4 linked regions of the Drosophila melanogaster genome follow. The protein of the gene in region 1 purifies or fractionates together with the protein of each later gene. This does not show direct contact. Each region holds a gene or a part of one and is shown in the gene's direction. Other genes may lie near its edges. The genes, in order: Rbm13, RpL7-like, Noc3 and RpL24-like.

Evidence for each region.
Region 2: the proteins of Rbm13 (region 1) and RpL7-like purify together in Drosophila melanogaster (affinity purification with mass spectrometry, with the first as the bait; one large-scale study listed by BioGRID). This does not show direct contact.
Region 3: the proteins of Rbm13 (region 1) and Noc3 purify together in Drosophila melanogaster (affinity purification with mass spectrometry, with the first as the bait; one large-scale study listed by BioGRID). This does not show direct contact.
Region 4: the proteins of Rbm13 (region 1) and RpL24-like purify together in Drosophila melanogaster (affinity purification with mass spectrometry, with the first as the bait; one large-scale study listed by BioGRID). This does not show direct contact.

What each region holds. Positions count from the first base shown.
Region 1 is NC_004354.4:8,897,670-8,905,820, forward strand, and holds Rbm13 (RNA-binding motif protein 13), read left to right. Parts: upstream 1-4,029; 5' UTR 4,030-4,128; coding exon 4,129-4,143; intron 4,144-4,210; coding exon 4,211-4,257; intron 4,258-4,328; coding exon 4,329-5,142; intron 5,143-5,532; coding exon 5,533-5,688; 3' UTR 5,689-6,092; downstream 6,093-8,151. Other genes in the region: Uros1 (uroporphyrinogen III synthase 1), read right to left, coding at 1,558-2,391; e(r) (enhancer of rudimentary), read right to left, coding at 7,395-7,709.
Region 2 is NT_033779.5:12,052,215-12,060,296, forward strand, and holds RpL7-like (ribosomal protein L7-like), read left to right. Parts: upstream 1-4,133; 5' UTR 4,134-4,207; coding exon 4,208-4,218; intron 4,219-4,284; coding exon 4,285-4,933; intron 4,934-5,000; coding exon 5,001-5,114; 3' UTR 5,115-5,678; coding exon of another isoform or gene 5,679-5,999; 3' UTR 6,000-6,037; downstream 6,038-8,082. Other genes in the region: JhI-21 (juvenile hormone Inducible-21), read right to left, coding at 16-289, 346-470, 550-874, 1,443-1,710, 1,768-1,870, 2,089-2,284, 2,871-3,082; CG34164 (uncharacterized protein), read left to right, coding at 5,679-5,999; Rab3-GAP (Rab3 GTPase activating protein), read right to left, coding at 6,376-6,552, 6,616-6,813, 6,999-8,082.
Region 3 is NT_033777.3:7,242,185-7,251,014, reverse strand, and holds Noc3 (nucleolar complex protein 3), read left to right. Parts: upstream 1-4,045; 5' UTR 4,046-4,131; coding exon 4,132-4,140; intron 4,141-4,192; coding exon 4,193-5,805; intron 5,806-5,863; coding exon 5,864-6,487; intron 6,488-6,543; coding exon 6,544-6,766; 3' UTR 6,767-6,783; downstream 6,784-8,830. Other genes in the region: Obp84a (Odorant-binding protein 84a), read left to right, coding at 1-19, 80-174; Dtwd2 (DTW domain containing 2), read right to left, coding at 320-995, 1,058-1,137; CG1227 (uncharacterized protein), read left to right, coding at 1,595-1,710, 1,771-2,365, 2,424-2,558, 2,614-2,730; CG10053 (uncharacterized protein), read right to left, coding at 2,896-3,649, 3,719-3,765; CG14607 (uncharacterized protein), read right to left, coding at 7,174-8,289, 8,341-8,387.
Region 4 is NT_033777.3:11,428,821-11,435,869, reverse strand, and holds RpL24-like (ribosomal protein L24-like), read left to right. Parts: upstream 1-4,287; 5' UTR 4,288-4,380; coding exon 4,381-4,461; intron 4,462-4,531; coding exon 4,532-5,026; 3' UTR 5,027-5,130; downstream 5,131-7,049. Other genes in the region: Exd2 (exonuclease 3'-5' domain-containing 2), read left to right, coding at 294-508, 571-1,698, 1,906-2,314; CG5276 (uncharacterized protein), read right to left, coding at 2,578-2,875, 2,930-3,891; Dtd (D-aminoacyl-tRNA deacylase), read right to left, coding at 5,134-5,243, 5,299-5,531, 5,600-5,690, 5,746-5,788; Sptz (spastizin), read right to left, coding at 6,331-6,760, 6,818-6,945, 7,007-7,049. UniProt on the Drosophila melanogaster protein: Involved in the biogenesis of the 60S ribosomal subunit. Ensures the docking of NOG1 to pre-60S particles.

The sequences.
Region 1 (8,151 bases):
AATGACTCACACTCCAATCACTCTACCCCTCTCTTTCGCACACACACTGCCACATACCGGTATTTCAGCGTTTTTGCTTTACACTCTTTCTTCGCTTGTTCCACAATTCTTTCTTATTATTTAGAGTACAAATTATGAAAAGAAGACAGTTAAAGTATGCAAAACTCACACACGCATGCAGAGCACTTATTGTTTTTGCTTGCCGGCAAAAGAAAAACTTGTGTTTTTATTATTTTCCTGCCTTTTTCGTAGGTTTTCCTTTTAGTTTTATTTTTGCACACACACGTAAAAAAAATGAGTTCCGTCGTTAAGCAAATCGCAACACGAATGAAAAAATAAGCGGACAATAAAAACCGTTTTTTTTTTCCAACGCTCAACTTTTGCCGGTGTGTGCAAGTATGCGTGTGTGTGTGTGTGTGAAAGAGAGCCGCGTGCCTGTGTGTGTGTGTGTGGGCTTGTTGCGCTTTTATCTTATGTCTTGGAATTTCGTAGTTTTATTTTGGTTTCCACTTACATTTCGTTTCTTATCCAATTGCCGCGTGTTTTTCGTGAGCTTTCTTTGTTTTCCTGTTGCTTCGCAAACGAAAGGAAAAATCAAATAAACGCAAAAAAAAGAGCCAAAACGAAAAACAAAAGGAGATGGAACCTTAATCGATACTATCGCGTGGAAGGTTGCCGCTTCGCAAATGATCGATCTGGCAGCGCCGTGTAAATCTTCAAGCCAGGCGTTGCCACTGTTTGCATAAATTCAAAAGCCGATTTATAATTAAATTTGAAAAAACCTTTCATTCCTTTTTCTTTGTGTAGATTTATATTAATATATAAAAAAACAAATTATTTAAAAATAATAATTCTGGAAAACAAAAAAGTGCTCTTTATGATTTATTTTAAAGTTATTACAAAAAAATTAAAAAGTTACCCCAATAATAGAATCAAGTGAAAACTCCAAAGCAAATTGTTTAAATTTAATTGTAATTGCTTAATTCTACTCCACTTCGTTGCCACCTCCTATTTGCTATTTGACCCACAAAGACGACCAACTAAATTTAGAAAAGAAACAATTTATTCAGCTTAATCCAATAGTAAACAGAAAATAAAGACGTCGGCATTTCATGCCGCTAATTTTGTACTCGCTCGGAGGTCAATCGAAATAAAAAAAAAAGAAAAACAAAAAAAAAAACCATGAGTTTTAGTCTTTTTTTTTACGTTTCGATCAGGAAACTAATTACCCATCCTTGGATTTCAAATCGATAGAGAAAAACTTGTACAGGTATTCGAAATTATAAAGATAACTAATCAATCGAATCGAATCACAACCAAAGCTCGAAATTTTCTACATAACTTATTCAAAATTGTTACTACCAATGCGATGATGGAAAATCTTATTTTATAAAATAGAAATTACAGATTGTGTTCATCATAGTTACTTGTGGATAACTATAAAGATTCAGGCCATAAGAACTCCCCACTTGGATTTGTATCCATATAAATGATAGATCCGATGATGATTTGTGGAGATTAGCCGTTGGAGCTGCGAAAGCTTAAGAAATCTTAGGATTAATTGTTATTCTCGATGGCGGCCATCCGTTCGCGCTCCTTGAGCAACCGCTCCCGACTGTCCTGCGGATTGAGCAGCACCTTGACCAGATGCTCCACCGTCGGCCGCTCGGCGGTGCAGTAAACCTTTTGGCCCAGCGATTCGAGGGCACGCCTAGTGCTCGGCCCGATGGCCACCAGCTTCCATTTGTCCATCGATAGCTGACGGCTGGTGAAGTACTGCTGTGCACAATTGACGCCCGATGGCGAGAAGAAGGCAAGAAATTCAATCGACTCGCCATAAATCTCCAATGCCCTCTCCACATTGGCGCCCAATTCGGGATGACAGCGCGTCTCGTACACTTCGCACGCATCCACGGAGAAGCCATTCTCGGCCAGCTTGGATAGCAGCGTATCGGTGGCCAGATTACCGCATGGCAATAGTAGCGGCAATGCACGCGATCCATCGAACGTATCCACTATATAGTCGCCCAATGCCCGGGCATTGCCCGTCTGTTTGCCGTGGGTGAATAGCTGGTCCAAGGTGCTTAGCGCCAGATTGTGGGTCACCTCGCCGACGGCATAGTTATGCAACATCTTCCAACCGCCGGGTAGCTCGCCGAGATTGAGGGATTCAGCCACGGCCTCCACGCAGCGCGGCGATGTGAATATGATGCCGGCATATTTATCCGGATTCTGAAGCTTGGCGCGCAGCTCATCGAGATTCTTGAAGCCGAAACTCAGCGTGGGCACAAAGACGGGATTGAAATCGTGCTTCTCCAGCGTTTCTGCGTACACATCGCTGCTTTCCGATTCCGATTTGAATATGATCACAGTTCGCTGGCGACTCGTCATCTTGCTGCTGGCTCACGTTTCTCACTTTGATCGGACGCAAACTGTGTGCTGAATTTTCCTTTGTCGAGTTTTCCGCCAGCGCTTACTTGCCCCGCCCACTGTTGCCGCCTTTGCTGCGCCTTCTATTGCGAAAATAAAAATATATAAATAAGAGTCGAATTTTGTGCACCAGCAGCCTCGTGCTGTCTCCCTCTAATCAGCTGTTGTGCCGGCTGTCCGCAGGGCTGCCAGATCGTCGAGCTAACGGCATTACTGTTTATATATTTTAAATTTATGCTTTTGTTTTGAAGTTAAAGGATTTAATTTGCTATATTTACTTAATTTTTGTTTTTTTATTTCTGCTCATTATATGCCGTTTTTATAATCAGCTGTTTTTTGGCGACTACCCAAGGGTGGCCACACTGTTGTGATTTTTAAAATATTTCATTTGATTGTTACAATTTTACAATTGTACATTCGCATTATTATAAACCAGCTTTGGAAACTGTAAGATTATCAGTAAGAATATCTTCTCACACATATAAATACAACTTAATCATGAGTATGTAAATTTAACTTATTCATGGGTATTTTCTCACATTCGTTATCAGATATTTTTCCAATGAATCAAGAGTTTTTACGTATTTCGAGCAGAATACATCGGAATTCTTTAGAACTATTTCAGATTTGATCGATGCGACAACGCAGAGTAAAATAATAATAATTTTTCACTAAAAAAATTTATTATTTTTAAGTTTTTCTTCAGTGTGTGCTTAAAATGATGAAGCTTTCATATTTTGTGTTATTGATCGTCCTGGTTTTGCGAGGATCCTTGGGCAAGCCACTGCATAAAAAAGAAACCTGTCTAGCCAATCAGCTTTCTATGATTGATTTAATGAGTGAAATCAATTCCAAATTGGACAGAATCTTATCGATTTCACACAAAGAAACGGATTTATCCAGCCAGCAAATGAAATTGCACAGCAAAAAAAATGCCCAACAGGAAGCGTTTCGCAATAGAACGCAATCCCGTTTTCAAATATCCAGCAACAAAATCGAAAGTCTGTTAGAAATGTATTCCAGTACTACAGTGGAGCCTCTGCCACAGAAGTTTGCGTTAATTGGCAAGCGATCATTCTATATAGAAAATAATGTGGAAATTTCCTGGGCTGATGCGGCAGCTGCATGTCGCGAATTCGGCGGTTTTTTGGCAGCTTTTAAGAACGAAGAGGAACTTAAGACCATTCAGGCAAGATTGAAGTTCTGGTGGTACTGGACGGGTATAAATGATTTGAAAACCAAGAAGTTCGTATCCCTGGCTTCTGGAAAGCAATCAACGATATTCCAAAGACATAGTTATAAAACCAATCACAGCAAATCCTGCGTTGCGGTGGATCCCCAATATATGTCCGAATTTAATTGTGATACCAAATTGTATTTCATTTGCCAGATGGATGAAGACACGTAATACATTACTGCTAATAAAGAACTTGCTCTAATTTTATAAGCTATTAACACACAAAAGTGCGTTTTTTTTTTCTTTCTCAATATAAATTGGGAATTGGAATATAAGAAATTTGAATTCATTGCCATCTGGCCACGCTGGCGATTGCAACTGTCATCGGTGCTATCGATAATGCCAACCGGCGGCACACGGCTATCGATAGCGCAATATTGTGTGTTGAATTTGCACGTGTTTCAAAGTAAGTTGGTTGTTTTTTATCATTGAAGGCATTTCGTTAATAACAAAACGGCGCCATGCAGCACGACGATGTGAGTAGCAGGTGTATGAATATGCACATTTGTTGGTGTCCTAATCAGATTATTATCAATTTGCCAGGTGGTCTGGAGCATCATCAACAAGTCCTTCTGTTCGCACAAAGTGAAGTGAGTTGAAATGCAGTTAATTATAATTATGTAGAAAATTTATGTATTCAATGGCAATCTAAATCACACAGAACCGACACACGCACCTTCTGCCGCCATGAGTACAATCTCACGGGTCTGTGCACACGCAGAACGTGTCCGCTGGCCAATTCACAATATGCCACCGTTCGCGAGGAGAAGGGCATCATCTATTTGTTCATCAAGACGGCGGAGAGAGCGCATATGCCGAGCAAATTGTGGGAGAGGATCAAGTTGTCCAGAAACTTCGAGAAGGCCATCGAACAGATCAACGAGAATTTGGTTTTCTGGCCCAAATACATGATCGCCAAGAATAAGCAGCGTTTCCTCAAGATCACCCAATATCTGATACGAATGCGTCGTCTGAAGTTGCGCCGCCAGAAGCTCATTGTGCCGCTATCGACGAAGATCGAACGGCGGGAGGCGCGGCGCGAGGAGAAGGCCTTGGTGGCCGCCAAGATCGACAATCACATCGAGAAGGCGCTGATGGATCGTCTGAAGAATGGCACCTATCGCGACATCTACAACTTTTCGCAGACCGCTTTCAACAAGGCTCTGGAGGCGGAACGCGTGGACGAGGATGATGAGGAGGAGCTAGACGACGAAGACGAGAATGAGGAGCAGCTGGAGCGCGAAATGGAGGTGGACGGCGACGATTCACGCGAAGCTGAGGAAGTACAGAGATCCCTGCTCGACGAGGAGTTCGTCGAGGCAGATACGGACGATGAGGAGGAGGATGATGATGATGATGATGATGATGACGAGGACGACTACGACAGCGATTCCGGCAAGCGGGAAGAGGTCGAGGTGGGCAGCGATTTCGAGGAGTCCGACGAGGATGACGATGCGGATGCAGATGATATTGAGGTAGTGTTTCTGGTCATGTATCAGGCTTTTCTTTTTTATTTTGTTGGCAGTTTTCTGGAGCATTTAACGATTTCCAAATCCTTTTTCAATGAATTTCTTTTAATATTGAAAATTCTGAGTATGTAAATAGTTGGCAATTGCTTAAATCCTGCCACCTTCTTCCGAAATTACCATAATTAGAAATAGCAAACGAGTTCTGCCCGCTTGGAGCTTGGAGAATAAAGCTTTCCGAGCGCCGTTCGCCGCTTTTCATTCAGTTGCGTCGGTTTCCATTCAGTGCGCGCTAACTAACAGCTCCAGAAAATTGCCAAAAAAAAGAAAACTAAAACGAAACAAAACTAAATTCCAATTGCCAAACCGAACTTAAAACGAACAATTGCATTCTAACAGGAGACCAAAGTGCCAGCCAAGAAAACCGCCAGCAAAGCGAAGAAGGACAAGAAATCGCCGGCGGGCAACAGTCGACGCAGCCGCTCGAAGCCCAAACTGCAGCTGGAGTACGAGTATGAGGTGGAGAAGGAGGCACAGCGGCAGATGCGCCATTAGCCAGGTCCACAATATATATTTCTCCCCCCCCCCCATGCTCAATCCACTTAGCTGTTAACGCTTATTGTTTAGCCGGTTAAGAATAGTATTTTACATAAAAAAGAAAGAAAAAAAAACAAAACTAGACAAGTGCAACACTATATGACCGAAAAATGCATCTCATGCAGGATGCACTTCATCTGCATCCCATTCGCTTTGCTTTCTGGCCAAAAAGCGAGGCTGGCTAACTGACATTGAAAGTGGGCGGTGCGGGGCGGTGTGGCGACAATGCAGTGTTTAAAACCAGTTTTGAAAAATATTCTAAAAAAAAAAACTATGCACCATATTCGACGCAGCTGTAGCGCTATTGCATACCCTGTAAAAAGCGCGGAGTTGCGTGGCAAGCAAACTACTTTAAATAGGAGAAATTCTTTTTTTTTTTTTTTTGAAAATATATATACATATTTTTGTAATAAACTGTACAGTTTGCTGTAGCAAATGCTTTTTTCACAAACAAATATATTTGTCTGAATAATGAGAAATCTAGTGATCATTAATATTCAGCAAATATAATGGGTAAACTATAAACACTATGTTTATTGCTAGTTAACGCTAGTAAGCAGCATCCACAAGTCGACACTAAATGTGCATATATACATATATATATATATATATATATATATTTAACAAAATGCTGTCGCGGAGCTAATTAAATATCGCACGCCAAGTTCAATGCAGTGCGGCCAAGCGATTCAGCGGCGGTCCAAGTTCGTTATCCGATTGAATATCTGGCGGGGGTACAACCCACAAACCCCTACCCCTCCCCCCTCACCACACACACAACAACCAGCATCTCAAGGTCATTTCGCATCTGCGACCAAAGGTTCTGTTTTGCTTAAAACAAGCCGTTAAAACGCCACAAAGCCCATCGGTGTGCAAAATCAGCGGGCTAAAAGTTGTTGTTTAACTAAGTTCAAATGATAAAGGGGGGGGGGGGGAATCAGTAGTTTACAAATATGTTTATATATGCTCAGTGTGTCCTGATGTGTTAGTTTATTATTCGATAGATTGCAAAGACTTAAGCTAGCACACACGGCAAAACATACAAAAAAAAAATGCACACTTGCAAATTTGCCATTCGGTTTTACAAACAAACAAACATACAGTTCGCTATCGATAAGAACAACCGTCACCTGTGGCTGCCGCACAAAAAAACATTGAAACACACAAAAACACACACAGTTGTCAGTTGGGTGTATATACAGTATATATATATATATACGCCTATATATATATTTATATATATATATATATATTAGTACGTTTAAAGTAAGTTTTCCATTTCTAAGTTATACAGTTTATCGTTCTCTTTGTGTTCCTTTTCCTTTTTTGCATTGCGTTATGTTGCAAAAAAAAGTTGCTGTCATTTGGCGATCTAGTCGGTAGCAGCAAGTCTCCAATGGAATCGATGCCCCACCACTCCATCATCATCTTCTTCTTCTTCCTCATCTTGTTGGTGTTATTGGTGTTATGGTGTTGTGGCCGTTGCGGATGCTGTTCCAAGCGCTGTTGCATGTATCCTCGTATTGTTGTTGTTGTTGTAGTTGCTATTGCACGCATTGTTGCATACATCAACGTGTTGTTGTCGTTAGTGTTGCACGCATTGATGCATGCATCATCGTGTTATTTGGTTTTATATGTATGTATCTTGTCGCATCGCCGTCCCTTTAGGTATTGGAACTAAATGCCGCCTGACGGAGCAGCACATAGATCTTCTCCTTGATCCAATCCTTATTGTAGGGCGCATAGGTATTGGTGCTCTTCTGGTAAACCATGCAGCTAATGTCCACCATTGTGTCGATGAAATCGAATAGCTGGCTAATGTCATACGTAATGGTCGGAGTGTTTGGATTGCGGCGCTTCAGGTGCTCCTCGTAGATCTTGCACACGCCCTCCATGCACTCGTTGACGCTCTCGTAGTCACAGTAAGTGCGGGTCTCCGGACGAGCACCCGGCTGTACCAATAGGATGGTGTGCGACATGGTGATCTGCAAGGCAAAAATGGAACATTAATGTTATTGGCGGTGATCTATGTACTCAAGCGATATGTATGTATGTATGTTACTAGTGTGCGTTTCATTACATTACGTTTCATCTTCATCACTTACATCCTTTTTTTTAACAAGCGTTTTTTCTATAGCAAAGTCCGAAAGATTCCGAGACTCTCGAAGTTGAAGTTTACTTCGCCAGCTCTGCAAAAATTGTGCATAAATATTTATTAGAAGCATAGAGAGCTGTCAGCAAAAAAAAAAAAGACAAAAAAAAAAGGAAAAGAACAAAAACGAAAGAGATGGAAGAGATATGCTGTTGCCGCATGCAACGCATCGCCCCATCTCGCTCGCGCTCTCGCCGCAACACCAATACACGCGCACCACACATGCTGGCCAGCAGAACGCTCTTTGATTTTCCAATTTGCAACTGGGA
Region 2 (8,082 bases), on another chromosome or scaffold:
CACATATATGTAGGCCTAGTTAATAGCCTCATTCGATTCGATAATGGTGGTATTGAAGATGGCCCGGCAAATCTCCACTACGGAATTGGACAATCGGCCGTAGCACTTGGGCTTCTTTTTTCGGGCGATGAAGGCGTAGTAGAACGGAATGCCAGCCAGGGTTATGCCGATGCCAATGAGCAGATTTTGTGGCTCCTCCAAATTGGGCAGCAGTACGAGTGTCACGCAGCTTACCATGAAGGTGATGGGCAGCGCAAGATGGACTTTAATGGGTCGGGGCAAGTCGGGCCTGAAAGGAATACACATTACACATTGGGTTCAGAAGAAGTCAGTGATATCACTCACCTCTTATGCCGGAGCCACAACATTCCGGCTATGCTGGCCACCACTGAGAGCCAGAGCACCGAGCTGAAGTAGTTGATCAACTGGTACACGTTATCCGTGAGCAGCATGAGCAGCGACATAAGACACTGTGGGAAAAATGCGCTTACATCAATGCACAATTCTCTGCTGATAGCTGATTGGTGCAAAATGCTCATGCCAACTCACCGTGAAAATCAGGGAGGGAATGGGCGTCTGTTGTTTCACGTGGAACAGCTGGAAAAACTTGGGCAAATGCCCCTCCTGAGCCCCAGTAGCGAAAAGGCGCGCCGATGTGAAGAGCACCCCGTTGACGCCACCAAATGTGCTTAGCGCCACGAAAATGGGCACCATGAAGGCCAGCGGTCCGAACACTCGGTTTCCAAAGGTCACCGCCACGGCCAGCGAACTGAGCATCTCCGGCTTGTTTACCACGGCGAAATAGGCCAAGTTGACCAGAACATAGATGCTCGTGACCAGGGGCATGGCTATCCAAATGGCGCGCGGCAGATTCCTGCGCAATGAGAAAACAAAGAAACCGAGATCAGTTTTATACAAAACAAAAACTTCTAACTACTGTTTTTGCAAATAACTACTATCTTTAATAGTTGACTATGATGTTTCATTCGGAACTAAAACATTAAAAAGCTTTCAGGTAAAATAAGAGATATCTTATCACTTTCGATGACCGTTGATATAGAAAACATTTACCTTATACTCGAAAAAATCATAATTGGTTTGTAATAACTAGAAACATCAGAACTAAAACTAATCTACGGGCTTTACTGCGCATAAGAATTGAGTTTCCTACTTGAAATTTGTTTCAGTGTGTCAAAGAACGTGCTATTCAGCGAGAAAGCCACTTGGCTGTGCAGGGAGCGTAGCACTTAAATTGATTGCAAATTGAATTCGTTAGGGATGAGGCAGCATCCCCCACCCACTGGGTGGTATTCTAGGAGGAATGACATCAAGGACACTCAACAAGTTTCCACTTGTTGCTGCCTGCGCATGACGCACAAGGAATGAATGAGGCAAATAAACCCAGCCCAACCCAACCATTTATCCTTGTCACCACTACTCACTTGTATGGATCCTGTAGCTCCTCCGTCACAAAGTTTAAGTAGTTCCAGCCACCAAAGGCAAACAGACCGGAGTAGAAGGCGTAGCCAATGTTGCGGGCCGTGTAGATACCCTCCCACGGATTTCTGAAGTTCTCCAGCTCGCCAGTGGCCATGTAGTACAGTCCGGACAGGATAATCATGATGAGGGCCAGCAGCTTGCCCACCGTGAACACATCCTGCACTTTCATGGACACCTTCACCGACAGGCAATTGATTGTGGTGAGCAGAGCTGGGAGAGTGGGAGTTTCAATTAATTAACATTGAGTGGATTGTTTAACCAACTTACTTAGACATATGGCAGCCAGCAGTTTCACCGCATTCTGTGGGGGATCGCATTCCGGAAAGAATGGCTTGACCGCATAATGGGCAAAAGATAGAGCCACAATGGTCTAAAAAAAAAAATAAAACAATGTATTCATACTATAAATCCCACATGCCATTTGTTTCTAGCGGAGAAAGCTGTCCTACTCGTAATTGAATTCAATTCCGGTCGAAGGTAGCCGCCCATTAATAAATTTCTATTTATTTGCATCAACAACCCATCGATCAATCAAGCCAAATAAGTAAACATTCCGTAATTCAATTGATGAGTACTATAGGAACTGACCTGCGTGGTTGGCCGGATGATGAGCAGTGCGATCCAGAGGCGAAGGAATCCCACCAGCGGTCCAAAGGACACCAGCAGGTAGGCGTAATCCCCGCCAGATCTTGTGATGCATGTGCCCAGTTCCGCGTAGCACAGAGCTCCGATCGTCGATAAAATGCCGCAAGTCAGCCAAATCAAAAGGGAGCTTCCCACGGATCTGAAATGATTTAAAGTAGTCATCGAATCAATAAACAATTTGAATGAAAATAAACACTCGTAAACAAATATGGTCAGGGAATACATACATATATATATATATAAAGCAATAAAAATTATAAATATAGATCTAATATTAACTCGGTGGCAAATATTTGTAAGCAATAATAGTAAAATGGTATTTAAACAAAACATCTAAAAAAAACAAGTGCTGGGGATTAGCTTTCATTTCGATAAAATACTTTTATGAATTTAACTTCCTGGAATTTTTCGCAGCCGCCTTAAGCTTATGACGCACACCTTTTTTTGTGGCTCTTATCAATAATTTAAATGTTTGGCGCGCCTTATTGACGTTATTCTTGTGACTGGAGACAATTCGCTTAAAAAAAAAAAACACTTTAAAAAGCTGACGCAATATGTGGGCAGAATTTCAAGGTTGAATCTTTGAGGGAAAATCGAGAACTAATAAATGTATCTTAATTGGTGCTAAAGGAATGCCTGCGACAATCTATCCATTAATTAACAGCTAAATTGACCTTTTTTGTGCATAAATTGAATTAAGGAGGATGCTCTGTATCACCACTCACTCGGTGTAAATAAAGACTCCCGTGGGAGCAATGAAGATGCCCGATCCAATGATGGTGCCCACTATGATGGCCACTCCATTGATGAGTGTTAGCTTCCGCTTGAGGACAATCTTCTCCTCGCCATCAGCGGGATTTGGATTACCCGGCGCGGCGCATCCATTTGTGGGCTCGACCAGGCTGGTGGTCACTCCATTGGCATATCGGTCCGTCATGATGTCTGCACTGTGGGATTCTTCTGCTTACCCTCTTCTAATGGCGAATAGCGCACATTGTCACTGGAATGAAGGGTAAAAGTTGAAATGTAGAAAAAAAAGCCTTCATTACTATCAGCAAATGGGGCGCGAGCACGTGTTGCGCAAATTGTAAACAAATGCTATAGTGCTGATTTTAGTTACTAATTGCTAGTGAAGAAGACCCGATTTTTGCCTCGCTGGCAGCTAACTAATCTCCCATTGTCAGGCATAAACTTGAATGTTTCCCCGACGCCACTATCTTCGATACACGAAATTTAGCTTTAAAGTAGGGTGATTTTTGGGGTTGGCATGTTGTGGTGTGTAGCTGCCTAATGGGGAGCTCCACTTTTATGGTGACGCCTTTGCCGCGTGCCAATTTCCACGATTTCGTCATCACCTTACGACGCGTGGCAATGAATTTTGCAGTTGCAGAGTTGCAGTTTTTCTGGCAATTGCTCGATTGCTTTTATTCGCTTCTTTTTTTTTTTGTTGGTTATTCGCAAGGTTTGGAATGCAGTTTGGCTGATTAATTTCGGTTTATCTTGTTCCCAGCGACTTTGCACGTAAAACACGATTTATTTTACCTCGAGAGCGCGGACACAACAAAACGGCTTTGACTGCGAACAGCGACTGTGCGTTGGCATCGAGACCGGCATTTTCATACTAAAATTAACGCAATTTTCACCCTAAAACGCAGTGAGAGAGTGAGAGCAGCAAACGGAGAGAGAAACAGAGAGAGAGAGAGAATGAGTGTAAAGAAAAAAAATGAGAAATGAGTGCTCAAAACCGGAAATTAATGTCAAATGGTTACTTACAAGAAGAAAACATTAAAGCTGTCCTCTTGAATGCTAGCTAATGCTAAATTTATCTTATGGCATAACTATTAAGCATAGTTTTCAGTTGAATAATACAATTTCTTAAATGTTCCCGCCAAAAATTTCAAATTTGTTAGCTATTCACCACGAAACGCGCTCAGCTGTTGCACACATCACTTATCGATAGCAAAGCACTTATCGCTCCGCGCCCACCTCTATCCTTTTTAGTTATTGTTTTGGTGCTTGCACGTGTTTTAATTTACTTCGATTAAAAAGCCAAATACCAGCAATGTCAGACAAGTGAGTGATTGAAAAACTATAAAAATGTGTTGACCCTAAACATTATCTTATACTTTTGATCCCTAGATATGCGGTGCCCAACAAATTGCCCGGCAAAACAGTGTCGGTGCTAAAGCATCGCAAGAGGAGAATTCTGCAGGATGAATCTGTTGTTACGCAGAAAAGAAATGACCGCATCAAAAAGAGAACCGCCACCAAGAATCACCACAAATTCCGCCGTGCCGAATCCTTCGTAATGGGCTACCTGAAAGCAGAGCGCACGTCCAAGCGGATCAAGCAAACCATTCTGCGCACCAATGTCACCGAACAAAGTGCCAAAGCTGCCGACGATTCCAATCCCAAACTGCTCTTCGTGATGCGCCATGCGGGCAAGAAGATCTTCGACAAGACCACCGCGGATATATTCCGAACCCTGCGCATGGGCTCGCGCCACAACGCCGTCTTCATGGAGAACACCAAGGAGAACCAGTTGCTGCTGCGCGTTATCGAACCCTTTGTAGTCTACGGCAATCCCTCGCTGAGCTCCATTCGCGAGCTGGTCTTCAAGAAGGGCTTCGCCCGCATCGACGGCAAGAAGACGGCCATCCAGTCGAACACCATGGTGGAGCAACAGCTGGGCGACAAGGGTGTCATCTGTCTGGAGGATATAATCCACGAAATTTGCACAGTGGGTCCAAACTTCGCCGCTGTAAATGAGTTTCTGTGCGCCTTCACGGTTGGTTAACAACTTCTCTTTTGCAATTCTTAAAACTATACTATTACCGCCATTTGGTTTTTTCCAGTTGTCCAGTCCCAGCAATGGTTGGCAAAAGAAGGTATCCGTCTCGTACAAACGCGGTGGCGAGTACGGCGATCGTGGCACTGCCATCAACGAACTGATTGCCCGCTGCCTGTAGAGACCCTAGCCTAGTAAACCCTTAAGTGATTGTTCAACCTCTATAACCCATTCTGTAGCTAAGCCCAATACACATCTATATACAAACGTATTCTATTTGAGCGTACTTATTTAACGAAGAAAATAGATGGTCAGGTCAGCACTATCGTGAGTTTACTGTATGCCTATAAAAGCAATCCTGCGACTATTAAGGAACCACATGAAACTGTCTCTAACGACATTCCTCATTATTCTACATGTTTATCAACATGATAAACTTCACCCACGAAACAAGTTCTTTGCTTCTTGGCCTTGCGTGTCCCAGCCGAGTTCCCAAATTGAACAAACCAGAGAATCAACTTTCTGCCTCGAATAATAAATAAGTCATAACCGAGGTGGCTCCTCGCAAACGAAAGGTATGCCAAACTGAACTACTTGTTGCCATGAAGGAGGAACTGTTGTTTTTCGATTAGTCGGAGTCAGTGCCACTAACCTAGTGCAACTCGGGTCGTCGTATCTTTTGTTCGGATAAAACTCCAGGGACTACACATTGGAATTCAAAATCCTTAGATTCAATTAATTCTCAATGAATTCAAGTTTCAACAGCGAGCAGTTGGACACCGACCGCGATGGACTGCAAAAAATTCTGGCCCGATCTCTCAAGGAACCCATTCTTGGCAAGCACTTTGCCCTGCCTGGCCGCATAGAGCAGAGTCCACCCATCGAACTGGACACCAGCCAGAGCTACATTGCCGTCTACACTCATCTCAAAGTGCACGCCACCATGATGCCGGAGAGATTGCCCACGCCGGAGGCAATCGGACGAATACAGGCGGAGAACTTGGAGGCAGCGCCCAAGGCACGAAGTTCAAAGACCCGCTTGGATCCCTGCTCAAATATAAATTAAATTACGTTGGGCATCAATAAAGAAAGTATTGTTATTTTATCTTTTGGTATCCCTTAAATTTAGTAAAAGAATATTAAAATTTTTTTTTTTATTTTATTAAATATACATGTTCATAATCCTTGTAGGCATAAGCTTCACATCAAATTCGTGTTGAATACATCCTCCTATCGGTGCAGATCTTAGTATCCTTTTTCTTGAAAGTAATTAATATGATGCTTTTCGTAGGTTGTTTAAATCGCTACTAGGTTGATAAGTATAAGACAATTAATGGGACCGCATGTGGTGCTTTAACAATCAATATTGGGTTCATTCTTGAATCCATAAAAATCATGAGAGAAATGTAAAATAACCAAGTGTTTATGTGTCATCCTCACTCCTAATTCTGCAGGATACGCACGGCGTTGTACATCTGGCCAATGATGGGCAGCTGCTTGGACTCGCGCCGGCAAAGGTATTTGTAGGCATGCGACAACAGCCTGTCCAGGGCAGCCACATCGATCTCGTCGGGCTTGGTGGCCGCGATCTGAATGTTGTTCTCCGTCATCGGTTCCTTCTGCGTAAGCGGCGTGAGAAATGGATCAGTACTGCGAATGATATATGCGCTTGCAGCACTTACCAGGTTGTCTAGGTAGGCCAGCAACTGGTGGCCAACAGAGGCAATCTTCAGGAACGTGGACTGCGAGCTCTGTGCGTAAAGATTAAGTCTACGGCCAGCGATCTCCAGCAGCAGTCGGCCCAGCTCCTCGTCATCGCTGATGTCCTGGAGCAACACTTGAGCCTCCGCATCATACCCAAAAGCGTACAGTTCCACCACCTGGAGGAGGGAAAAATATTTGGAATATATTTTCTATTCCATTGTGTTTCCTCTGTTGTGCTCTCTACGGAGCAAACTAACGAACTGATGTTGAAAGGCAAAAGGGATTGTAAGCTCCCTGTCATGTGTGTTCATGGGTTCCTAGATTAGGAATTCTGGGATCATATATGTATGTACATTCTTACCTGCCGTCGTAGGATAGGAAGTTTATCGACCTCCCAACTGTCGGCTAAGGCACAGATCTTGCCCATGTAGAAAACATGATCGAGAATGTACAGCTGCTCCAAATCCTCTCTAATCAGATCCATGGTAGCGGTGACAAGGCGACACAGGAACTCAGTGCGCTGCTGTTGCAGGACAAGATCTGGTGCAGGCAAAACATAAGGCAGTTCCTTATTGATGTCCGCCAGCAGAGCTTTGTTGCTCATGGAGTCAAAAAGCGTGGTCAGTGGTTTTGGAATGCGCAGCTGGAAAAAGGAAACGAAGTGCAGCACGCTGCACAGTTCTGTTTGAAGACGGAGCAGCTGCGGCATGGCATGGTGCTGCTGGAGAGCCAGAAACTGCAATGGCAGGGCTCCTTCGCTGAGCGACTGCTCGAAGTGCAGTTCACGCTTATCGTGCTCCATGGAAGCGGTGAAATGCTGCAGGAATTCGAGGCTGAGTTCTAGAAACTCTGGCACTTTACCCGCAGACATCTCGAGATCTTGCTGGCACATCTTGTCCACTGGCAGGCGTCCCACTTTTTGAATAAGCTTCGCCGCCGCCTGTAGAGGAAACTTCAGGGTGGCATTCCACAGCATGCAACATATTCCATGCTTCAGGGCCCAGTCAGGTGTACGGAATTGGTTTAAACAAAGTAATGCTGCCTTTAGGTGGTCCAGCGATGAGAGCTGCTTGCTCCACTGGACCATGTACTGCCACGACATGAGACTTAAGAGGACGCCCGATTCCAAGCTGAAGGGAAAATGCGCACGCAGCAGAGCCAATCTTTCAAGAATAGGTTCATGGGCTTCTTTACTCGCCGCGTACACTTCCTTTGCCATTTCCAAATCCTCTTCTGATTCCGCGTCTTCATCGACTGACTCCTTGGTAGGCTCATCCTTTATCTTAACTTTGCTCTCGTCGTCTAACTCGTTTTCGGGAGGCGATATCTCCAAAACTTTACTCGGATGCAATTGTGCACTGATCAGCCACTTGGCTGTCAGTTCGGTGACGATGCCTTTGCCACTGCTCACAATGCTTTTGAGACTGCAGTCCGGTGGCTCGTAG
Region 3 (8,830 bases), on another chromosome or scaffold:
GCCTGCGAAGCTGAAGGCAGTGAGTGTTCTAGGCAGAACTTTTTAATTACAAACGAAATCTTTAATGTGTAATCCTCAGAGGACGAGACGAATGCTTGCATGCGGGGCTATGCCATCGTCAAGTGCGTGTTTACTAGAGCCCTCACGGATGCTAGAAACAAACCCACTGTATGAATAACATCAAAGGTCACATCTCGGACTTATCAGTAGAAAATTATAATGTTAGCGTCACTAAATCAAATACGGCTACGACCGGAACACAAAATTGGCTATAAAGCACAGGCACCTGCAAGTTATTTGGTATTTTCTGCCCCGGCTATCACGTTTCCTCATTGCCATCGCAGGCGGTGTTTCTAAGCAGACGGCTGAGCCGCTTGCCAATGGGCTTGGGGTACTGGTTGTTCTTCAATAGAAACTCCTTGGACTGGTGCTCCACGGCTCCGTTGTCTAGTTGGTACTTGCACAGCGTGTGCAGCGGTCGCACGAGCGTTTGCCTCAGCTCTGGCCGAGATTCCAGCACTGCCAGGCATTGCGCAGCGGTCTCTAGTGTGCTAAGGCATCCTTCAGTAGGCTGTGTACGGATGATGTAGTCACTTATACCCACGGCGATGAGTTTCACCTGTCGCAGGCGGTGTAGAGCCGGACTGCTAGCGTAAATGGCTTTAGCCTGAGGCCAGGTACCATCGATGAGCACCAGTGTATAAGGACCCGCACTGTGGTCCACCTCTTCCAGTGGGACCGAGTCCCGACTGGGATACAGAAGCAGTGTTTGTGGAGAGTCCAAAATCCTCTGCAGATCAGCATGGTTTCTATGGTTTGGAAACCGCTTGCCTTTGTAGACGACACATTTTCCCGGTTCCAAACCCAACTGCAGCATCAGTGCAGTGCGTAGCGATCTCTTCTCCTCTGCAGGGTGTTGCAGTATAACAATCTGTGAGGACACCGCCTCAGGTGGATGCGGTAAAGCCGGGCACCAGCAAACAACCACGGGTCGTCTATAATAGAGTTCATGAAAATACTTTAATTTTTATGGCAGATTCCCAGCTTCACCACTCACTTGCATTTCTCGCACTTGTTGCGTCTGTTGGGCGGATCGGCGCTGATGCCCACGAGGTCCAGCCACGCGTCATCCTCCATACTTATAATTGATTAAATTAGAAAAATGCTAAGTTTATATTCCGCACGATAAGAAATCCGTAAGCAACAATTCGCAACTAGGTGGCAACGCACACAGCCACATGGCAAATATGACCGCCCTGTCTTCGAATCAGCTGTTTGGAGTGCAGTGAAATTGCGATTATGCGATGACAGAATCTTGAATTCCTTTAATCTATACACCAAGGAATCAAAATAAATATTAATTTATTAATACGTCAAGAAACTAAAATCGTAAAAATAATACGAAAGTGCCTAGTTTTTAAAGTTAAAGTTAATATAGAATCTTACAAATATGGTTAAAAATCACCGAACTTCATAAATTCGTTCCAGTATAAACATTCCACTTCAGCTTTGTGTTTTCTATTTAGATTTTGTATGTGAATTGAACTAGTTGTTAAGCTTAAAGTTGTGAAGTACATAGCATAATTTAAGAAAAATGCAGAGTATAGGATGGACGCTGATCATGAAACGCGGCTGCCTCTTTAGTTGCCGCAAGGAGACCCTGAACATAAACGGATCTCGATACACAATCCGCGAAAGGCTGGCGACGGGGTTTGTACCACATTTTTCCCACTATCTCCTCTGATATATCTAATCTGAGTGTTTAAACAGGGGCTTCAGTCTAATCGACCTTGGGGAAAACGCCTCCACGCGACGTAGCTATGCGATAAAGCGCATCACCTGCCACAGCATCGATGATCAGAATATAGCTCTGCGAGAAATCGAAAACTGTCGAAAAATTGACTCGGAAAACGTGATCCGGGTAGTGGATTACGAGCTGAAGGGCCAGGCGGACATAGTTATAAACACAACGAGCACCTTGTTCATTGTGCTTCCCTATTACAAGCACGGATCTCTTGCGGACCACCTTCAGCTGCGATCGCGGAAACAGGACCACATGCCCGAGGCCCAGATCCTGCAAATCTTTCTGGGCGTCTGCGAGGGATTGAAGGCCATCCACGAGGCAATGCCGGTGCCTCTGGCCCACCGAGATCTAAAAACGGCCAACATCTGCCTGTCGGACTCTTTTGAGCCAATTATTGTGGATCTCGGGTCAATGACAGAAGCCCGACTGCAGATTGTGGGCCAGACGGATGCTCAGCGCTTGCAGGACGAAGCCGAGGAGAGGAGCTCCATTGTCTACCGGGCTCCAGAGTTATTTACCGTGAAAACATATTGCACAATTGACGAGCGCACTGACATATGGGTAAAGCAGATCCAAGAGAGCGTTATTGAAGTTCTTCCTTAACATTTCCCTCTTTCAGAGTCTTGGCTGTGTGCTCTATGCAATGTGCTACTTTAATTCACCCTACGATCCCATCTACGAGCGAGGTGACAGCGTGGCTTTGGCTGTGCTCAGTGGGAACATAAACATTCCAGAGGATTCAATTTACACAGAGGTAATAAACCTTTTTTTTATATTGTAAAGGAAACTAATTCCAAATATTTGTCTAGGACATGCACGAATTAATTAAGTACATGCTGCGAACAGATCCAATGGAACGGCCATTCGTGTTTAGTGTTATCGAAAGGACCCACGATCTGATACAGAAACTGGAGGGTCGCTTGTAGCTCCCACTAACTGGATTACAACTCATTTATAGACATTCCTCCAAACCAGATACACCGCTTACTGTTTTTTGACTACTTATTGTAAAATATTTTAAACCTGCTGATTTTATGAAATTATGTGTAAGCAATCAAGCTAGTTTTTTTATTTTATTTTATTGATTGGAGCTAGTGTTCGTCACGAGTGAGTCCTGGACAGTTGGAGCCCAGATCTTCGGCGTCATCGTAATGGGTCCCACACCAATAGCAGAAGCAATAGGCTGTGCGCAGGTAGCCAGTGAGGAGTTCTAATTGCTCCGAGGGACTGTATGGTTCTTGCTTAGGTGGCACCTCGACTTCAGGATCGTCGGCGTCGCTCTGTGATTCATCTTCATCTTTTGGTTTAGGTGGCCAAAAGAAATCGAGATCTGGTTCTGTGATAGCGGACTTAAGATCCAACGATTCGCAGGTCTGCTGGCACCGTTTTATGTCATACTGTAATTTTCGCTCCTCCGCTTTATGGGTCGCGCGCCTCCTATAAGCCTCTGTACTGACTTCCTCGTCGCTTTTAATGCCGGCCTTGTTTAGGAGATGTGCCCTCCGCAACTTCTGCCGCTTGAGGGCCAACTCTGCAACGGCTGCCTCGCGCCCAAGTCCTCCACGACCGCTCTTTATAGTTATCCCCACGGGTTCAGTACGAGCATCCGAAGTTATGCCCAACCCAGAACCGGCTTTGTAGCCCATCTTGGCCAGTAGCTGGAATCCTTTGTTGTCGGCGGAAATTGGTTTGTTGAGGGACTGTTGAAGGCGAACATTGTCTACGTTCCCGGAAGAAGCTGCTGTCTCCCGTTGGCGCTTCTTCAGCTCATCTTTCTTGGACTCGACTTCAATCTGCCGCTTTCTGCCGCGATTGTGCACCAAACTCGGTCGGACATCTTGCAGACTAATGAGGGAAGGATGAGAGTTTTTCATAAGGTGGTTGGTTGTTAGTTAGGTGTGAGTGTAATCTCACCCAACCAGGAATTTGTCGGACATATAATCCTCCTCCTCGTCAGACATCTGTTTGTTTTGTTTACACTTCTCACTTAAGTGTGACCATTGCATAGTTATCTACAGCATTATTTCGATAATTTATAATAACAATGATATCTCTGCTATGAAGATTGAGTTCCGAAAATTGTATTTTATAGTATTGGTTCTGTTTAGTGATAAAAAAAACAGCCAGTTTGTGTCATTTACTTATTTCTTCAAAAACAAAGTATTTTAAGTAAGCGCATGTAAGATACTAAACAAAATACTATCCGCTTCTGAGCAGCTGTTGCGCTCCGCTGACGAGTGGACAGTTCCGTTGGCGTTCCATGTGCTCGTCCCATTCAGAAGGCAACATTTGTGAAAATTAACTATTAGTTGACTAAAACGGGTGCAATGGGAACTGTAAGTGGAAAGTAAAATTATTTAATGCTTATTCTAATCCAAATCATTGTAGAAAAAGGTCAAAATCAGCTCGGTCAAGCGGGCTGCTCACCTGAAGTCGAAAAAAACACCGCTTTCTAAGCAGCAGCAACAAAAACAGAAGCAAAAGCGCGACCAACTGAAATCGAAGCGCGAACAGGGTCAGAATATATTCTCCCAAAAGGCGAGAAAGCGGGACAACTTAGCACAGCGTAAAAAGCACAACAAATTGGCCTCCCTGGGCTTGGATCCGCTCGAGGAAGACAACGAGGATGGCGACGATGAGATGCTTGAAAACGTTGCGGACATGCTGGATGGCGATGATCTTGCCCTGCTCCAGGCTAACAAACGCAAGCGAAAGGCCAAGACGACCGGCGAGAATGATCCTGACCAAGGACAATCCATCGGCTTGGAAAGGGCCTATGCCTCTGACACGAAAAAAGAGCAGGACGCGCAAAAAATAAAGTTGGATTTGCTGCCAATCAAGTCCAGGGATGGTCAGATTATCACCCGTACGACAGAGGTGGATTACATACCTAAGCCCAAGCAGAAAAAGAAGAATGAAGAAGAAGAGGAGGATGATTCCGAGGAAGACGGTGATACGGAGTATGAGGACAGCGATGACGATGTGGTCAATGATGTCGAGGCCGCCACCGCCGCTCCCGTCCAAAAACTTATCTCTACCACGGATCTACTTATTGCCCGGCAGCAGGAGATCGAACGCCAGAAGTATCGCATTGGAATCATTTGTTCCGGGCTGCTCGAAAAGCCAGAGGATAAGATGCGCAACTTTCATGCTCTGTACGAACTCATGGACGAAATCAACCCAGCCAGTCGACAGGCCAACCTAATGGCCGTCAGAAAGCTGGCCATAATCTCTGTCACCGAGATATTCAAAGATATCTTGCCCGAGTATCGAGTGGGTCAGGTCGACACCAAGATGCAGACGCTTCGCAAGGCCACTCTTGATCGTGTAACCTTTGAAAACGCCTTGCTTCAACAGTTTAAAAAGTTCCTGCAGAAACTGGAACAGATCACAGCGCAAGTTAACAGGAGAGGTGGTCTAAGGACGCCTCAGACTGTGAAGTTGGCCACCGTGGCAGTACAGTGCATGTGTGACTTGCTTGTGGCACATCCATACTTTAACTACGTTCAAAACATTGCCCAGCTTCTGGTGTATATGCTGAATTGCAATTATGCAGAGATGCGAACGGCGGTCCATCAGTGCTTCCGCACAGTCTTTTCCAACGACAAACGGTTAGAAATGACTCTTTTTATAGTGCGACGCATCAATCACTTGATCAAAACGAAGCAGAACAATGTTCATGTGGAGTGCATCACCTGTCTGATGGGCCTTAAAATCAAGAACGTAAACCTAGATGCCGAAAAGGAGAATGAGCTAAAGCAAAAGAAGCTTGAGTCGCATCGTCAACGCTTACTAAGCTTGTCCAAGAAAGAGCGCAAAAGACGTAAGAAGCTCACCGAGGTTAACAGAGAACTAGAGGAAACCCGTGCCGAGGAAAACAAGCAAGCAAAGCATCAGAAGCTCACCGAGATCATAAAGATGGTGTTTACCATTTACTTCCGCGTGCTTAAGAACGATCCCACCTCCCGCGTGCTGAGCGCTATTCTAGAAGGATTGGCAGAGTGAGTGGTTATTGTAAATCTCTTTCCTGGAATTTTAAATATAGAGGATGATTTTTAGGTTTGCGCACGTCATTAATTTGGACTTCTTCTCCGATCTAATCGATGTGCTCAACCGCATTCTAGAGGACCAAGACGAGCTGGGCTACCGGGAGCGATTGCACTGTGTTCAGACCATATTCGTTATCCTTTCCGGCCAGGGTGAGGTGCTAAACATCGACCCCATCCGATTCTACCAGCACTTTTACCGAAATATGCTGGCGGTGCAGGCAGGCAAAAATCACGATGACTTCGCCATTATTTTGCGAACTTTGGATGAGGTGCTCGTAAAGCGTCGTCGCAATATGAGCCAGCAGCGTCTAATGGCCTTCATGAAACGCTTGCTTACTGGAAGTCTGCATCTGCTCCATAATGGCACCCTGGCCACGCTTGGCACAATAAAACAAACCTTCCAGCTCACTTCTGTGCTTGACAACCTATTGGATACAGACACTACGATAGGCTCTGGTCGTTACGATCCCGAACTGGACGATCCTGAGTACTGTAACGCAGCAAGCACAGCGCTGTATGAGCTTGCGCTTCTGGCACGTCACTATCATCCCACGGTGCGACGGATGGCCGTTCACATTGCTCATGGAGTGCCAGCAACGGGCGAGGGAGCTTTGCCCACGGAAATTGGCAAACTGTATGTAATAAGACGGCAACTACATATGTGACTCTAACAATTATTACTTTCCTTAGTACCTCCCACGAGCTGTTTACGCAATTCGACAGCACTCAGATGGCTTTCAATCCGACAATACCGCTGCCAAAAGCGGGTCAACCAAAACTAAAAAGGGGCAAACACTTATATATTCGCTCGGACTTCAAACAGGAGTACGGAAAACTGCTGCAGCAAGGAAAAGTTTCACAGACGAAGGATAAACAAACCTTACAAATTGATTTTTTCAGTGCACTTCAATAAAGAAAAATTTGAAGATTGAAGTAGAGTTATAATGACTGCGGAATAGTGTGGAAAGAAATGCAATTTTTAAACAATACCCAACTTGTTTCCCAATATTAAACATTCTTCCAAATACGTTCTCAGTTAAAGGAAGAGAATACCAAGTGTGATACCAGGATTTGATTAGCCAGATAATAATCGAACAAATTTGTTGTTAAATCAGAAAGGTGCGAGTTGGTTTTAAAACATGAAACCATTCATTTGCTTAGAACTTCTCTGTAATATATTTCAATTAATGGGATTTTTACAAGTTATTATGTTTGGAGCTCCTAACATTCTATATAGAGGCTAAGTCTAGAGTCACTAAGAGTAGTGTCATATAACCGGGTACAAGTCCCAGGGGTTCGCCAGAATTTTTCATTCGCTACCTATGCATTGGTGCCTCCTCGTTGTCGCTGTTGTCCAACGCTAGCTGGTGGCAGATACTCTCTATTCCCGCCCGACTGCTGTTGCCCGAATCCAGCCACTGAACTCTCGGGAAGAGCTCCGGCGGCAGTGGCCAGAAGCCCGACAGCAGCTCCCGATGGCGGTAATCGATTGGCTCCAGTGCTCGGGACAATGGCGGGACGAAGGACAGCCCCAGCGCCATACGGGCTTTGGGGCTGAGCGGTTGGGGTGGGCGTGGCTGAAGGATAGGACCCCCGGCCGGAGTTATATCCAGCAACCTGAGACACTCCGGTGGCTCGAAGTGTTCCAGTCGTGGCCAGAGGTGCCCCGAAGGCAGCCGAGGAAGAAGCGGCCGGACGGTAGACGTTGTTGGTATTCGATGTTCTCAGATTGGAGCCACTTCTCTCGGAGTAATCATAGATATAGGCATTGTTCGCATATAAGCTGGGCGCCGAAACGCAGTCGTACTGGTTCCACCACACACAGACTAATGTCTCCTGGCTGAAGACTGTGCCATTGGGACACAGGAAGGAGTAGGTCCGGTTGAGGGCACAGATATGGAACACCTGGCATTGGGCCTCTATGTCCGCATAATAGCCGGGTAGGGGCTGTTGCGCACAGTCAAAGTTGGTGCGCGGCACCTGGGCATAAATAGGATAATCCACTCCAGGAACACCCGGAATGGCCGAGTAGTCTCCATCGGAATCGTTGTAGTCCCCGCTGTCTCCCGTTCCACTAGCAACTCGGATTGGAGATCCACCGGGAGTACCTCCATACTGCGAAGCCTGCGGTCCATAGGGTCCACTGCGAGATGATGGGGTAGATAATCCGCCAGATGAAGTTCTTCTCGGTGGGTTAACGGGGTTTGTGGCTCCTACAATGGCGGGTGCTCCAAAAGCAGTGGTAGCCTGTCCACTTGGCGTAAATCCAACAGCGGGTGAGGGAAACAAGCCTGCTCCATATGCAGTAGGAGCCGGAGCGGGAGTAAGTGGCAGGGCTGGTGCTGTTGGATATGGTGCAGGTGTCAAGCGACCACCAGCTGTGGCTCCTCCTACATTGGCTACCTCGGGACGCCCATAGTTGTATCCACTTTGAGCCTATAAAAGCGCGGATTACAGTTAAGAAAAGAGAATCTCCTTATAGCTTACCTGGACTTGCAACTGGGCTAATCCGCCACTCCAGAGCAACACCAAAACTGGAATAAAGAGACGGGCCAACATTAACGCTTTCTAACCGTCCGTGGAATCTGGCGAAGATCTGCTCCGAGCTGTGGAACTGGCGACGCACCAAATCGAAATGAACGCCCTGGCAGCCATCGATGGCGATGGCAGCGAAGAGTTTCGCAGCCCCTATTAAGGCCAAGTACGTTGTGATTCTGGGAGCTGATAGCGCGGCTTAGATGGTTCTGCACCGCGATCTTTATTTTTCAGCTTCCTACTCCTACATCGGGGGCACAGTGGTCAAAAGCTTCACTATTGCATTTACAGACAATCGGGGCATTTATCAAATTAACTATACTTTAAGCATACAAACTAGAAACAATTTTTTTCGAAAATGTTTAGTGCACAATTGTAAATGCTGTTGCTTGATTCATTTAGAAGATTCAATATGTTTCTTAATTTTATATTTTGGTTAATC
Region 4 (7,049 bases), on another chromosome or scaffold:
AAACCCTGTGGGCCAGTATTGCCACCCCGAAGATCTTAGTCCAGCCAACAATGCCACCTTTTTAAACGACTCGTCATGTTTAACGGTTTTATTTCGATATATTTTTATGAACTTTTAAAAGATTTGAAACAAGTTTTGCTTAAAATGTATTAAAACTGTAAAACTATTTTGGCATAGCACATTCAAATTACGGTTATAAATATTCCGAAACTTGTTTAGACCGGCTTTTACGGTTTGTGAAAACGTAAGTTGGCAGGCCAGCCAATCAGCTGCTGAACTCCGAAAGGAGAACAATGACTCGGGAATCGGCAGTCGCCACCAAAAGAAATTGGGCGATTCTGGCCGCAGGAGTTGGCTTGGTATACGTCCTGGTGCGGCACAGGCACCGACTGCTGTGTCCACTGCGTCGCGTCTGGTCCTTCGGCAGCCTGGTGCCCCAGCGACGCATAGAAGTGATCAACTCCGTCCAGGATCCGACCACGCAATGGGTTTTGAATGAACTGAAGAAGTAAGTAAAAACCACTTTAATTTCACGACAATGGAAATATATATATATATTCTGCCTCTTAGTCACTGCCAGACTTTTAAAGTCCTTGGATTCGATTGCGAGTGGATCACCGTGGGCGGCAGCCGCAGGCCAGTGGCCTTGCTCCAATTGAGCTCCCATCGGGGTCTATGTGCCTTATTCCGACTGTGCCATATGAAACAAATACCCCAGGATCTGCGGGAGCTTCTCGAGGACGATTCCGTGATCAAAGTGGGCGTGGCACCCCAGGAGGATGCCATGAAACTTTCGCACGACTATGGAGTAGGCGTGGCCAGCACACTGGATCTGCGCTTCCTCTGCGTAATGGCAGGCCACAAACCTGAGGGACTGGGAAAGCTCTCCAAAACTCACCTGAACTATACACTGGACAAGCACTGGCGCCTGGCCTGCTCCAACTGGGAGGCCAAGACTTTGGAGCCAAAACAGCTTGATTACGCTGCCAACGACGCACTTATGGCGGTGGCCATTTATCAAAAATTGTGCAGGGATCTGCAGCCAAAACACTTTTGGCAACGAAGGCAACTGGACGACAATAGCATGCACAACAAATTCGAACCCTTTCTCGACGTGGACTTCACGAAAGGCTTCACACTCAACCCGTCCGGCAGCGGAGTAACTCGTTCAAAGGGCTCCACCCAATCCAAAAGCAATAAATGGGTGCCCAAGAAGCAACCGTACCGGCAAATAGCTACCCGAACCAAAGACTTCTACGATAACTGCCTGCTGCAGGCGCCCGATGGCGAACTCCTGTGTACAATTGACAGGCGCAAGGCGTCCTGGTATCTCAATCAAAATCTGGGCACGCATATAAGCGAAGAGCCCTTCACTGTCCGCCTTAACTTCGAGCCAGCGGGTCGAGCGGTCGGAGATGTGGGGCGCTTCTATCAAACAATCAAGAAAAACCAGTGCGTGGTGTGTGGTGACCGGGATGCGTACATTCGGAAGAACGTGGTACCGCGGGAATACAGAAAGCATTTCCCATTGGTCATGAAATCTCACACCTCCGACGATGTGCTGCTCCTGTGCCCAACCTGCCACCAGCTAAGCAACATCTCGGATCTAAGGGTTCGCAGCAAACTGGCCGTGCAGTGCGAAGCTCCTTTCAAGCAGGAAGACGGATCTGTCAAGTACCATGATGATCCGCAGCTCAAGTAAGTATGCCATACATTTTCAGAACTAAGTTAAAAGTAAAAGTAAATTATACATTGCGAGGAATGTAGATTGCCTTATCAGTTATCTTACCAGACATATTTTGCCTCTTTTTTATCACCTAACTTTCCAAAACATACCCTGATATATGATAAAATTAATCTCCATAGAGTTCTCAATGAATCTGAATTGCATTTTATTATTTCCAGACGAGTCCAATCCGCTGGCAAGGCACTACTTCATCATGGCGCGAAAATACCCGCTGCAAAGAAGGCCGAAATGGAAAAGACTCTCCTCGATTACTACTCCGATCAAACGGACATCACAGAAGATCTCCTGCGGCAAGCAGCCAGCGTGGAATATCGCGTAGAAAACTCCGACTACTGTCAGCATGGCGAGCGGGTGGTGCAGCAATATCGCGATCATTTCGGCGGCCTGGTGGAGCTGGAGCGCTTATGGCGGCAGCACTTTCTGCACACAATGCAGCCCCGCTTTTTGCCCGAACTCTGGAATGTCAACCACAATGCCGATCGACTGGAAGTTCGCGCCAGCGAGGGTCGCATCGATAAAGCCGATCTTATGGTGGCCGGATTGGATGCGAAGATTAAAGAAACGTGATGCAGGGCTTTTCTGAGTTTGCCACCGGCTTTGTACGTTTTATATTTCAATTTTAATAAAAATAAACTAAAATTTTTTTTTGTGCTATGGTACAAGACGGGACAAGGAGTCACGGTTCATGAGGCAGATGAGCATCTCTGGACTAATCTAGGTGACTATAAATATAAAGCTTACCGTATGGGACAATAATACAATATGTACACGTTTAAAACTGAAGCACCTGGATCGAAGTAGAGTGGAGTGCGGTAGCTTGGAATGGCGAGCTAAATGAACTCGAATCCCTCATACTTGTAGTCCGTCTCGATCCTCGTTTCGGGCAGCAGTGTCTTGCCCGCAATATCGAAGGCTGTGATGAAGGTGGCCGTCTTGCCATTCAACTCCTCCGACTTAAGAGCCACGATTATTGAGTCATCGGTGCCGGGCAAGAACTTAAAGCTAGAGAAACCATGCGTGGGCGTTGTATTTTCAGGATCGAGCCGTACAGTCTCAACGTTGGTGAAGCTTTCGTCGGCGGAGACCAGGACATTGCAGCCCATGTGCTCGTCCTTGGTTTCGTTGTATCTTTCAAAGATAGATCGATGAGTTAAGGATTTAAAGGCTGACACGCTTACTCACTTCTCTTTCGAACACCGCCTAGGCAGGAAAAACCAGCGATTCCTTTCCTCTGACCAGGTTCCACTCTCGTGGATCATGTAGCCCGGCCAGGTTATTTGCATCGACTGCAGGCGCAACTGCTTGAAATTGTCCACCCAGTTGAGCGACCTCACCTCGCCGGACGGAGTGATGGCCTTTACGTACATGGGGTTATTGTTCTCGAAATCACCCGCACTTGTCGTCCACTCCTTGCCCATGGAGCCCACATACAGCGTTTGCTCTTTCACTGTGGCCCATTCGGCCTTGAAGCCCTTGGCACTGTGTCCGTCTCCATCGAGCAGGATCACCCAGGGAATGGGCTTGTCATTCACAATCTCGTATATCAAACCCGTTCGGTCGTCGAAGGTGAGCAGGCGCCCGTTGAAGGTGACTAGCTCAGATAGCTCCATTCCGCGGCCCTTAAGGGCAAATGCTGATTCCAGGACTATCGGCGCCCCGTCATCCCAGCTAATCTGGATCTCTGACCTGGCCACCGTGTAGGTAAGGTAGCCCTTCTTCAGGTAGCTACGCCACGTGCTGCTCCCATCGCCCTTGCTCACCTTGGAACTGGTGTCCAGATCGGCAATCATGGCTATCCGGTAGTTTATCACACCGCCACGCAGCACCATGGGTGACGTGAGCGGATATGTGGCATTGTAGGCCTGGACCACTGGACCACCATTGTCCAGACTCCGGGCATCCGTGTAACTGCGGCGCAGCCAGTAGCCGTCGGAGGAGGAGTGCGATCCCTGGCGCGCAAAGTAGAAGAGTAGGACGAGTACGAAGGCGCAAACAATCAGAAGGGCGAAGTGATAGTTAAAGCGCACCGTCCGATTCCCAATCCGGTACGTGGGCGTCCGCAGGGCCGATCGCCAGTCGCGCATGTACATGGCGCGCGGCGAGTGTTCTGCGTGTTCCCGGTACGCGAAGGCAGGGCTCTGCATCTGGTCGCACGTCAGCAAGATCTCGTTCGCGGTGATGTGTCCGATTTTCTTGGTCTGCTGCTCTGTTTGTTTGGATGCTGGCGGTGTGACCAGCGCATGAGCGGGCGATCAGCTGGCGCAACAGCTGGTGCAAACTGGCGAGCGCATGCGATGTTATCGAGAAACAGGTGCAACAATTCAGTTTAAGTTAATGTAAACATACTGGGAAAAACATGATTTGGACAAAGACCGAAGGTAATTGAAATTATCAAAACAATACAACTGTCAACTGGTATCGCAGTCACTTGCAATTTATACGTATTTCTTGCTTGGATATTTTTTGTCTACATCTAGCTATTTTCCATGTTAGCCAGTGTTATCGATAAGCAGTGACTGGTCGCACTGCTGACTGCCGATACATTTTCATATTTCTTCTTCTTCAGCAGCACACGTGCTAGCAGCTTGCGCATTTGTTTTGTTTTCGTAATTTATCCGTCGTAAATTGCGAAAATGCGCATTCAAACGTGCTATTTTTGCTCTAGCAAAATATACCCGGGCCACGGGGTGCAATTCGTGCGAAATGACTGCAAGGTAAGAACGATTTGCTTTCCTGTTTACATGTGCTCCGATGTTTATATTGCTTCGCCATATTCCGTCGCAGGTCTTCAAGTTCTGCCGAGGCAAGTGTCACAAGGCCTTTAAGCGCAAGAAGAATCCCCGCAAGGTAGGATGGACGAAGGCGTACCGCAAGGCCGCCGGCAAGGAGCTGGCCATCGATCCCAGTTTCGAGTTCGAGAAGCGCCGCAACGTGCCCATGAAATACAGCCGCGAGACCTGGCAGAAGGGTCTGGAGGCCATCAAGCGGGTGACGGAGATTAAGGAGAAACGCACCAGCCACTTTGTCATGGAGCGACTGCGCAAGGGTCGCCAGGTCGAGATTCAGATGGACGTCAAGGATGTGCAGCGCAACATGTCCCTGATTCGCTCCCCAGCCGCAGGGCTGAAGCAACGACGTGCCCAGGAGGCGGCAGAGGAGGCCGCCCTCATGGAGGAGGATCTGCCCGAGGAGAAGATCACCTACGTGGATGCACGCGAACTCGAGAAGAAACTGGAGGAGGGAATGGGGGTCGAGGATCTCGAGATGTTAGAAGCCTAAGGACGAGTACGCTGATTTTTTCTTAGTTTAAGTTGCTGCTAAAAAATACATTATATAAAAACCCCGTGGTACATAAATGTTGTCTTTGGTTGTTATATATTTTCAAATCATTTGTCCACTTCTCTGTCAGTATCCTTTTGTTCGGGGGACTCCAAATTAATGGTTACGGGTCCATCGTTTTCTATGTGCACTTGCATGTATGCTCCAAATTTGCCATCTATTATAGTAAGTGAGATTAAAACATGACCAGCTGGAGTGTTCCTATCACTCACCTTTAATCTTGGTGCTATCGTAGGATTGACCTAGGCGATCCAAAAATTGATTGTACAACTCCTGCGCCTCCTCGCCCTTCATGGCAGCCAAAAAATCCGGTTTGTTGCCCTTAAGGCGGTGATACAGTGTAAACTGCGAGACGCACAGCAGTTCTAGGTTCAGATCCTTCACGGACTTTTGCCAACGCTTGCCCTCCTCCTCGAATAAACGGAGAGCCAAGATTTTCCGGACACTTGAATGGTAAGCTGTGTTAGGTGGTCTAAACCTAAGGTGGTTATCACCAGAGTGGAATTTACCTACAGATACTCAACATCCTTGGCGGTGTCGCTGGCCTTGATTCCCACCAGCACGCACAGGCCTGGTCCAATGGAGGACACCAGCTCATCCAACACTAGGGGAGCAGTATAAAATTATATGATAGATGGTAACTATTTGATCCTGCATACCCGTCACTTTGGCAGCCTTAACCCTTTGTATAACCGCACGCATTTCTTAATTATTCTATTTATTTACCACTTATTTAGATCTTTGTCAGTGCTGGTAAACTTGACACGAGCAGTGTTGACCGTCGCCCCAAGAATTCAAAAATATCGCGCATTTTCTGGGTAATAAACATATAACAGTATAATATAAAAATAACATAATAAATATAAAATACAGTACAATCAATAATATAATTTGGTTACATGCTGGGAGAGTCTTTTTGAGCTGGAGGGTGGAATACTTGCTGGCCCTTTGGAAAGATTAAAATTGATCTACATATATGTTAAATTCTAAAAACAAATTATCTATGCTAGCTCAGTTACAAAACAACTTGGGCCTTCACTAGGTGAATAATCAAAAGATGAATTCCAATTCCGAATAATATATATTCATCTAAATCTCAAAATTGAGAATTTGCTTAGATATGTTATTGTCTTTTAGAATGCAGGAGTTTTCAAAGCTACAAATTCATCATTTGGTATTTCTCACAGCTAGTAAATCCCAGAAACAAGGGGTTACTAATGTGTTATTGCTCGAGGGTTGGGATATCACAGAGGCGTTGGCGCGGCGCTTAGCTGGAGCTTCATATCGCACAGTTTCTTGATGTGAACCTGACCGGTAAGCTCCGCCTGCCGCAGGATTCGCCGGATATCCGCCAATCGATCGTGCTTGTTGGCCAGCAGATAGGCGGATTTAAGCTGCCCAATGTAGATGTAGGAGGAGACTCGTAGCTCCACGCTGCCGATGCGTTTGATCAACCGATCCAGCATCTGTTTCGTCTCCGGCGCACTGCTGTGCACAGCAGCATTAATGGCAATCGAGAGTATTTCATCGGACTCCGTGGAAATGTCTCCGCCGTTGTTGCTTCCTATGCAGTCCAGCAGACGCTCTACCTCACCCAAGCGCTGATTTCTCGACAGGTACTTAGCAGTGGCTCCAAACACCTTAAGTGCAGCCAGCTTGAAGTCCTGCATAATGCTAAAAATAAAACAATTATAGCTGACATTGTCGTCTTGATTTTATCTTTTTGCTTACCCGTAAGCCAGGCCAAAACCTTCGTCTATGTTCTTACCGCACATGAGGATCAGAATGCAAATTTGTATCCGATCTGCGGCGCCTTCGAACAGAGTAGGTAGAGTTCCTCGACTGGACTCTAGTCGAATCTTTGCGGAGGTTAAGTTTGGTATTAGTTAAAGAAAGAATAAACGCAATTCAAGACAGTACCTGCTTCAGAGTTTGTATAGTTCGTAGTGGCTCATCTGGCGGC